2 linked regions of the Arabidopsis thaliana genome follow. The protein of the gene in region 1 interacts with the protein of each later gene in a pairwise test. Each region holds a gene or a part of one and is shown in the gene's direction. Other genes may lie near its edges.

The links.
Region 2: the proteins of GAF1 (region 1) and EMB1687 interact in a two-hybrid assay, tested with the Arabidopsis thaliana proteins (one study listed by BioGRID).

Annotation. Positions count from the first base shown.
Region 1 is NC_003076.8:24,145,204-24,150,629, forward strand, and holds GAF1 (Polymerase/histidinol phosphatase-like protein), read left to right. Parts: upstream 1-1,895; 5' UTR 1,896-2,003; coding exon 2,004-2,438; intron 2,439-2,544; coding exon 2,545-2,622; intron 2,623-2,705; coding exon 2,706-2,786; intron 2,787-2,881; coding exon 2,882-3,036; intron 3,037-3,116; coding exon 3,117-4,375; intron 4,376-4,470; coding exon 4,471-4,580; 3' UTR 4,581-4,739; downstream 4,740-5,426. Other genes in the region: AT5G59970 (Histone superfamily protein), read right to left, coding at 1,149-1,460. UniProt on the Arabidopsis thaliana protein: Probable component of ribonuclease P, a ribonucleoprotein complex that generates mature tRNA molecules by cleaving their 5'-ends. May also be a component of the MRP ribonuclease complex, which cleaves pre-rRNA sequences.
Region 2 is NC_003070.9:1,289,299-1,292,597, forward strand, and holds EMB1687 (ribonuclease P family protein / Rpp14 family protein), read left to right. Parts: upstream 1-2,001; 5' UTR 2,002-2,051; coding exon 2,052-2,507; 3' UTR 2,508-2,726; downstream 2,727-3,299. Other genes in the region: AT1G04625 (Polynucleotidyl transferase, ribonuclease H-like superfamily protein), read right to left, coding at 396-522; MEE4 (GRIM-19 protein), read right to left, coding at 623-767, 854-925, 1,474-1,688; LIP2 (lipoyltransferase 2), read left to right, coding at 3,243-3,299. UniProt on the Arabidopsis thaliana protein: Essential protein required during embryogenesis. Component of ribonuclease P, a protein complex that generates mature tRNA molecules by cleaving their 5'-ends. Also a component of RNase MRP.

The DNA of each region.
Region 1 (5,426 bases):
CTAGTATGAGAAATCGAGAGAATGATAATGATTGCTTCTTCGTTACGAATTATTTTATTCAATCAATCAATGAATGGGGTCTCCTCTGGATTTAAAAATTAGTCGTAATTAGGCGTGAACTTCTTTTCTCTTTTGCTACTGTGAACTCCGATAAAGACACGAGAGGAAAAAACGAAGATATAGTTTGTTTCAAAACGACTTCGTTGCATTCTGGATCAGAGAGATGACGTGTTGGTTGGCTGAAGACACGTGTACCTCTTCAGGCCCCTGTTTATTTTTCTTTTAATCTTTTTTTTTTTCTAAAAGTAATCAACGTCGTTGTGGTAGAATAGTTTCGGAATGAGATTGATTAATGTCGTTTTGTATCTTTTCAGAATTTGTTATGCAATACGACAATTTATTCATATCACCTTCTTTTAGATCTGTATCCAATTATAGAAATTGGATGATTTGATTCATCAAATTCAAAGAACCCTTAAGATACCACTATCTCCTTTTTAAAATGGATCAAGACCTCATTATCCACTACCACTCGTGGCAAAATGAAAACTATATAAAATCAACACAAAATGGAGGGAAACTAAAATTTACGCGCTAATGAGTAAAGTTGGTTAAAGCTTCTTTACTCTCAACATTTGGACCTGACGTCTTGTCGTCGTTATTTATGGGCTTGGTGATGTTTTATTGGGCTTAAATTTTGTACATTTTAGTGCAAATAAATATTTCGTTCTAAACAATAATAACGAATCGAAAAGCCCAAGACATGTTATACTCGAGAGCCAACAGTCAAGCTGATTTCAACGTATCTCGTCACGCCACGTAGTTGATTAACAGCCGAAGATCGCCGCTGATAAAGAACTAGATTGACGGCTGACGAGTTAATACGTCTGCTCTACTGTCAAATTCACAATTCAAAGCGAGGTAGAAAATTAGAGTCAGAGTCATAAGAGATTATGAGTAATCAAACGAACTTTCACCAAATTGCGTGTTTCCATTGTTGAGAATTTAGCAAATGAAAACACATTACAAAAGCGAAATAGCAAAAAAAGGAAATCAAATCTTGCTACATTTACTAAAATACCTACATTGAAATTCTCAAATCTAATTTCCAGAAACAGATCTCCAAACACAAATCTGAAAAACCCTGATTAACCGCCGAATCCGTAGAGAGTCCTTCCTTGCCTCTTGAGAGCGTAGACAACATCCATGGCGGTCACAGTCTTCCTCCTAGCGTGCTCGGTGTAAGTGACAGCATCACGAATTACGTTCTCGAGAAAGATCTTGAGGACGCCACGTGTCTCCTCGTAGATGAGACCACTAATACGCTTGACTCCACCTCTACGAGCCAATCTTCGAATGGCAGGCTTGGTGATTCCTTGGATGTTGTCTCTCAGAACCTTCCTGTGACGCTTGGCTCCTCCTTTACCCAAGCCTTTTCCTCCCTTTCCACGACCAGACATTTTCTCGAGAGAATTAGATTTCTTTTTTTCGCTACTGTGTGAAGAAGAATTGCTTTTGATTTTCAGATATTGACTGGACGTGTTTGTTTATATATAAGAGGGCTTTTGTTTTCAACCATCCGATTTAATAACCCATCTAACGGCTGTTAAGCTCAATCCTTGTCAATACTGATATGACATGATAGCCGTCGATTGATTTTAATCAACGGTTATTAATTGTGATCCGCATGATAACTACATAAGTGTTCTTCAGAGCTTCGCTTTGTAGTTACTAGTTTGCATGGGCTGGCTTACTTTTTAATGGGCCGGTTATGGATCGAAACCAAACTTCTCTTATTTTCGAATACGCAGGCGTTTCGGTAACTGCCTCATACGTCGTCGGTTGCATAGTAAAATAAATTTATTTCTTTTTCTTCTCTTTTTTTTTTTTTGGTCGTATTTATATTTCTTCTCCTAAAATCGGTGAAGTATCTAAAAACCCGTTATTTAATGCTTAAACCCTAATCGGAAAATCTCTCCGCCACTGTTCTCTCCGACTCACTAATGGGATTCTTCGATCTTAGCATTCCGTACAATGAGCCGCCACGATCAGGTGGTAAGGAAATCGCCGGCGGGAAAACCTTACGATTAAAGCTCGCCACGAAAGCCATGGAGCTAGGCTATGTTGGGATCGCACATAACCGTTCGATCAAAGGCGTAATGTCTGACAAAGACTCTTGTACGATCCCTCTTCTCACTCTTGGGTCTCTAATCAAAGTCGCTCCGCGGTTAGCTTCTTCTGTCGGATTCCATCGCGATTTACTCGGTGTTCCGCGAACTACTCCGTTTCGGCAGTACACGCGTCTCACAGTTCATGTGGAGAGTAATGCTCAGTGTCAGAGTTTGAATTCTGGGAATCCGATTCTAAAGAGTTATGATATTATTGCTGTTAGGCCGATGAATCAGAACGCTTTCGATTATGCCTGTGAGAAAGCTGAGGTTTGAATTTCTCTCTTTTTCTGTTAAAAATTCAATCTTTAGTTTTTGTAGCTCAATTGGAGTTTTTTTAGTTAGGATTTAACTCTTAGCTTGTTTGTTTTCATAGGTTGATCTTATTTCGATAGATTTTACGGACAAGATGTTATTCCGATTGAAGCATCCCATGGTTAAAGCTGCTATTCAGGTTTGTGATTTCACTGTTAGAAGAATCTGTGTGTATCTTATTCTTTTTATTTGCTTCACCTTAATGAATTTTCTTATCTGCAGCGAGGGATTTACTTTGAGATTAAGTACTCTGATATCCTTATGGATGCACAAACGAGGAGACAAGTTATATCAAATGCTAAGGTGAGATTCTGTGGAAAATTTTATTGTCAATTAGTTGATCATGTGAAAGTTTTATGAGAACTTGCTTATACTGTCTTGTGATATGGTGTATCTAGTTACTGGTGGATTGGACTAGGGGGAAGAATCTAATTATATCAAGTGGTGCTCCTTCAGTCACAGAACTTAGAGGTCCAAATGATGTCATAAATCTCATGTTCTTACTTGGACTCTCTGCTGAAAGAGCTAGAGCTGCCATTTCAAAAAATTGTAGGTATGTATCAAATTCGTCTAGCAATTGTGTTATTTGATGCTGCTAAGCGTCATTGAGAATGGATTTTAAATTGCTTTCAGGAATATGATAGCCAAGGTTTTAAAGAAAAAACGGTTTCACAAAGAAGCTGTCAGGGTTGAATTACTTTCTGCTGGTGATACTTTTAGCCTCGAACAGCCTCTGTCTGAAGATTGCATGAAATGGGATCGCCTTTCGAGCGGTGAAGGTGACATGCTTTTGGATGATCTTGCAAAGGCTTTTGATGCCACAAATGTTGTGGCGCACAAATCCTCGAAGGCGATTGATTTCACCTCTGTTCTTGATGGCTTGCCAAAACATGGTTTCCGGGTTAAGGATATTGTAGGAACTGAATCAGTGACTCAGCCTTCTGCAGCTAAGGTGATTGACACTCAGGTGCACAGTAGTAATCAAGTTTCTGAACTACGTATGGCCACAGCTTCATCTGATGATAACCTTCGGGAAATTGAAACCATAAGCCAAATTGACATGCTGATGTCTGAAGATGACAATAAGGTGGAACCTACTACAAATGTCCTCAAAGAAGAAGCATTTGCCCTAAGGAAATGCAGTGCCAGCCATGGCCAGGGGATTTTGGTGCAAAATCAGACGGCTACTCCCTTTACACTGACAAGATGTACAAAGTCAGAAGCAGCGTCGGATGTTAGCATGAATATTGAGTCGACTTCCGAAGGTGGATCAATGTCACCGTCAAAAAGCGATCATGGGATCCCACAAAGTCCTGTTGAAGTGAATAACATGGGAAATGCTGCTTTTGAAGAAGAAGCCTCAGTGGACGAAAACAGCAAAGAAAGAGCTACTACTGGTCATGCTAGTAATGATGAGATGCATATCACTGAGTCTGGACACCACGCATCCATTGATGATGAGAAGCATATCCCTGAGCCTGAACACCTCACATCCATTGCTGATGAGATGAAAATTGATTGTTCTTCGGAAGCAAATCACGACGAGTACATGGAGGTCACAATGGAAGACCAGATGCATGAAACAGGTGACAGTAAGATTATTCTTCCTAACTTATCCTCTGAGACTACCGATTTGCTAAGTGAATCAGGTAAATCTCTCAGTCCAGATGCGGTTGTGCAAGACCATGACGAAGCATCAAGACTAGAGTCCGATGAGACAAAGCTCGAGGAAGAGGCATCAGTTCCAAACCACAACACCTTTGAGATAACAATGGAAGACAATAAGGTCGAAGAGTTAACAATTGAAGACGAGAAGGTTGAAAAGACTGAAACCGAAGCTAGTCACCAAGCCCAAGTCCAATCCTCTGAAAATAACAATGACACAAAATCAGGTACGAGATCTAAGTTTCCTCATTTGCAAATCTAACCTAACACATAAGTTTGGAGTATAGATTTCAGTCTAATGTTATATCAATCCATAATGTAGGTAAGACGCAAGCTAAGAGGAGTAGAGTTCGTTTACCGCAACTAAGGCCTTTCAAGCCTTTTCTACTTCAATCAAGGTTCAAAAGGATCAGTAAAAAAAGAAAACATTGAAGAGCTTGATCATTCTTATAAGTACAAGTTTTGTCCATTAATTTATACCCACGCAAGTCTCGTGGTTTCATTTTTGAACCGATTATAAAATGGGGGAAAGAAAGAATCTAATTTATTCTCTAGAGTTGATTCTTTGTGTACTCGTGTTCAAGAAAAAGGCTTTTAGTTAAAATATTAAAAAGGAAAAAAAAAAGTTAAAAAGATTTAAGAGTGGAGGAGTCGGTAAATCTACCGCCGGCCGACAAAAGTCGGGGACAATGTCGCCGGAGGGCCTACATCTCCCTCCATAGCCATTGCTAAAGAAGAAAGACTGCTCTCTTTCCTTTTTCAAAACTACTTTATTTATAATCTAATTGAGAAGCATTATTCTTCACATTATTACTAATTACCTACTTGTGAGAAAAATTATTCTCTTATTACTAAAGATGCCTAACATTCAAATTATTTTCACTTTTAAATAAAAATAAATGATTTTTGTTACTGTTGGAAAATAATATAGTCTTACAATCAAAGTAACATTTTTTCTTGCAAAATATCAAAAGTGCTGAGAAACTTTTCCATAGCTTTTTTTTTTGGCAAAAATAATTGCTAGTATGTTTTCCTCTAGCTTTTTTTATATACTGACTTATGAGAATGAATGTATGGGTTGATTACTTTAAGTTAGTTTATTTGAGTGGAAGCTTCTTTGATATCTTAAGAATTCTTAAGGTATATAATATATGTTTACCTTTGGAGATTGCTAGTACTTAGCACGATGTGTAATCAACGTGAGAGTATTATGAAATCATCAAAGTAACATGGCCATGTGTTCATTATATGTTTTTCAATGCTAAAAGTTATCATCTT
Region 2 (3,299 bases), on another chromosome or scaffold:
ACATGTTTTTCACATCTTCATGTATATTTAGCATTTAATTATTTTTATTTTATTTTTTTAAAAATGTTTTCAACTCTCTTTTTTTTTCCTTTTTCTTTTTTTTAAAAGATTTTATAAATACTAAATTAATATGACGTTGTGAAATCTAACCGGATTTTGGATCCCGCCATTTAACCATGGTCATTAACGATTTCACAAATCTAACATATTTTTCTCATTTTCATGTACTATATTTAGCATTTAATTTTATTTATTTTCTGAAAAGGTTTTACTCTTTTTTTCATTTTCAAGAACTCTTGTTTTCAAAATTTTATTGTTTTGGATATTAAATTCACATATAATTATATATGATTTGGTTCGATTTCACTCGGTAAGCTTTTTCGAATATTTTTCACCTGGAGCTGTCAAATAAGCCAATTTCTTGCAGCTTGCTGATGAATCATGAAACTGTTTTTGCCTCATATTACGATTGAAACACTTAAGAGAAAACCAATACAAGAAGAATACTGTCTGTTGAATCATTCTCTTATTACCCGAAGAAAAAAAGATATAACAAGAACATATCAATCCTCAGCGAAACATCATTCATCATCATCATATGCATTTGAGAGAAACTAGGAAATCACCACACATCAGGACGGAGTTCCCCAGTAGCCGGAGGCATCCAGCGACCAGAATTGTACACATTCTCGCCAACTTTCCATCCCGGAACATCTTTCATTACATCAGCCTCATATTCCAGATACTTTTTCCACTCAGACACAAACCTAGAATGCAAAACGGGGATTGAAACAAGATTGCTATCTGAAGGTTGCTGCAGGCACATTGACTTAAATTTGAGAATATGGTTTACCTTTCATCTTCTTCTGCTTGAAGAATGGGAAGTATTGTTCTACGAGCAGCATATTTCTCTTCCTTCAATGCCCTAAACATCACATCAATCTTGATAAGAGCATTAATCTTGATACTTACTGATATCAAATCAGACTTGTTTAGGACCATTGTAAATGCATAAGAAGTTAATGATCAAGCCAGATATAATACTAAAACAATCTATCTACATAGAAACAGTATCCCGATAACTACTATCAAAACATGCAACTAGATAATTGCTTTCATCATAACAGATTCTCACATCTTTGCAATTGTGGCTTTAAGAGTTTACAAATTGTTGACGAACTTTATATTCGTTTAAGGCTAAACTCATGCTGATTAAGCTTCAACCAAAATGTCGGGGAATACTAATAACAGAATACATAACAGTGATTCAACAAGCCTATGTTTCCATAGGTTAATAATATTAACCAATTCCTACGATAAACATACTCAAGTTTCAACAATTATTAACCAAAATGTATCCTTCACTACATTACTATGGTCATCAATCACTCCACAACACTAATTTTACCAAGGCGATCTCGAATTTTAGAGGAAAAATTGAAATGTGAACGAGCTATTACAAGTCGTTCTTACCTGCGGATTTTGTTTCCCTGGCCGACCTGGTACATTCCCCAAGCAAAGGCACCAGAAACGGCAAGGAACATGGCCATTGCACTAGGACCCGTATTGGATATCCGGCGGGCATATCGGACCGGTGCGAACCCACCCGGTGGCGGACCATCCTGAAGCAGCGGCATATCCTTCACACTCGCCATTCCTGGCTTATTTCTTATCATCGCCTCCGTCATCTTCAACGCTCAATTTCTTCTCGACCAAATTGACTTTTGATCACTGAATCCGATTTGATTTTGCTGAAATCGAGTGTTCTAGGGATTCCGATGAACAACGAAGGGAACGTTGGAGATTAACTAGGCTAGGACCATATAACTAAGCCCATTAGTTAGCAAATCACGGAGTCGTATGAGATGAAATGGGCTATAACTAAGCCCATTTCAGATATGTTCAAAGACCCAAGTCCATAAGTAAGCAAGTCACGTGGAGTCACGTGATTATCTTCTTCTTCTTCTTACATATAAAATGCCCTAACTACATGTTCAGAATATCTTTAGCCGCCGACTTGGTATCATCAAATCGAGGAGATTCGAAGAAGCATGGTGGGATTTAAGAACAGATACATGTTAATGGAAGTTTTTCTGGATCCGGACAAGGATCTTCTCGGAGAAGGAACACCGATCATTCTTACACAATTCAATCTCTCGAAAGCAATCAAAGACAGTATCCTCGTCAATTTCGGCGAGTGTGGTCTAGGTTCGTCTCTCGGTTCCTTCCAAGTGAAATATGTGAATCCAATCACGAAGCTATGCATTGTAAGATCATCAAGAGAAGAACACAGACAAGTTTGGTTAGCAATCACATTGGTCAAAAGCATCGGAAACTGTCCGGTGATCTTAAACTTGCTCGATATTAGCGGTTGCATCAGAGCGTGTAGAGACACAGCCTTGAAGTGCGACAAGGAGAAGTTTGAGCAGTGTAGCAAAAGCTTGTCTGAAGAGGAGATTAGGCAGATGAATACTTCTCTTGAGAAGATCAAACTATTGGAAAACTGAAACTTTTCTAGACCTTTTTTCCTTCGAATTTGACCCCTAAGTTTTGAAATTGTACAATCTTTGTATTTTTCTTAATTCTGAAATACAAAGGGATAAGAAACAGCATCATTCCCTGAAAAGATTGTTTGCGATTTGAATCACTGGGTTTTTATATGTTGGAATTAAAATAAGAGGGTGTGAATTGTTGAGATATGTTCTAGATAAGGCGTAATTCTGTGAAAATTGAAAACTTAAGGGTACAAGTGCAAAGTCGTTGAATTTTGAAGCTTTTAATAAATCCAAAATTTCTAATCTGGAGAGAACCTATCTCTGAGGTCCAAACTCTTCGGTGGAGGAGAAGAACTGAAACGGTAATCTAGCTCTTCAAAGCCTCTTACTTTACCGATTACTTGCTCTTGTACCATGTATACGATCATTTATATGGGTTTTTATCGGTTACGGTAATCCTCCGTGTCTTTTTCTTTGTGTATGCATGTTAAGTGTTCGATAAAATACCTCAAAGACCTGGTACCAAAAACTATTCATAGGGTTTGTATCCTAGCTCCTCAGATTTTTATTCCTAATTTTAGGTTTGCTGCCTTTGGAAATTTTTTGTTGTGTTAGTCATGCTTTTAGACCCCCATCAGTAGTATTAAGTTTGTGTGGAAAAAAAGGTCGTGTTTGGAATCTTCCTATATAACCTAAGTAGTTAGAGATAAAGTGATCAATTATGGAGTCTGTGTTAATGTGCAGGAAATGAGATCCCCTAGAACCTTGGAGGTTTGGAAGCTAGGCACTGTCAACTATTTGAAA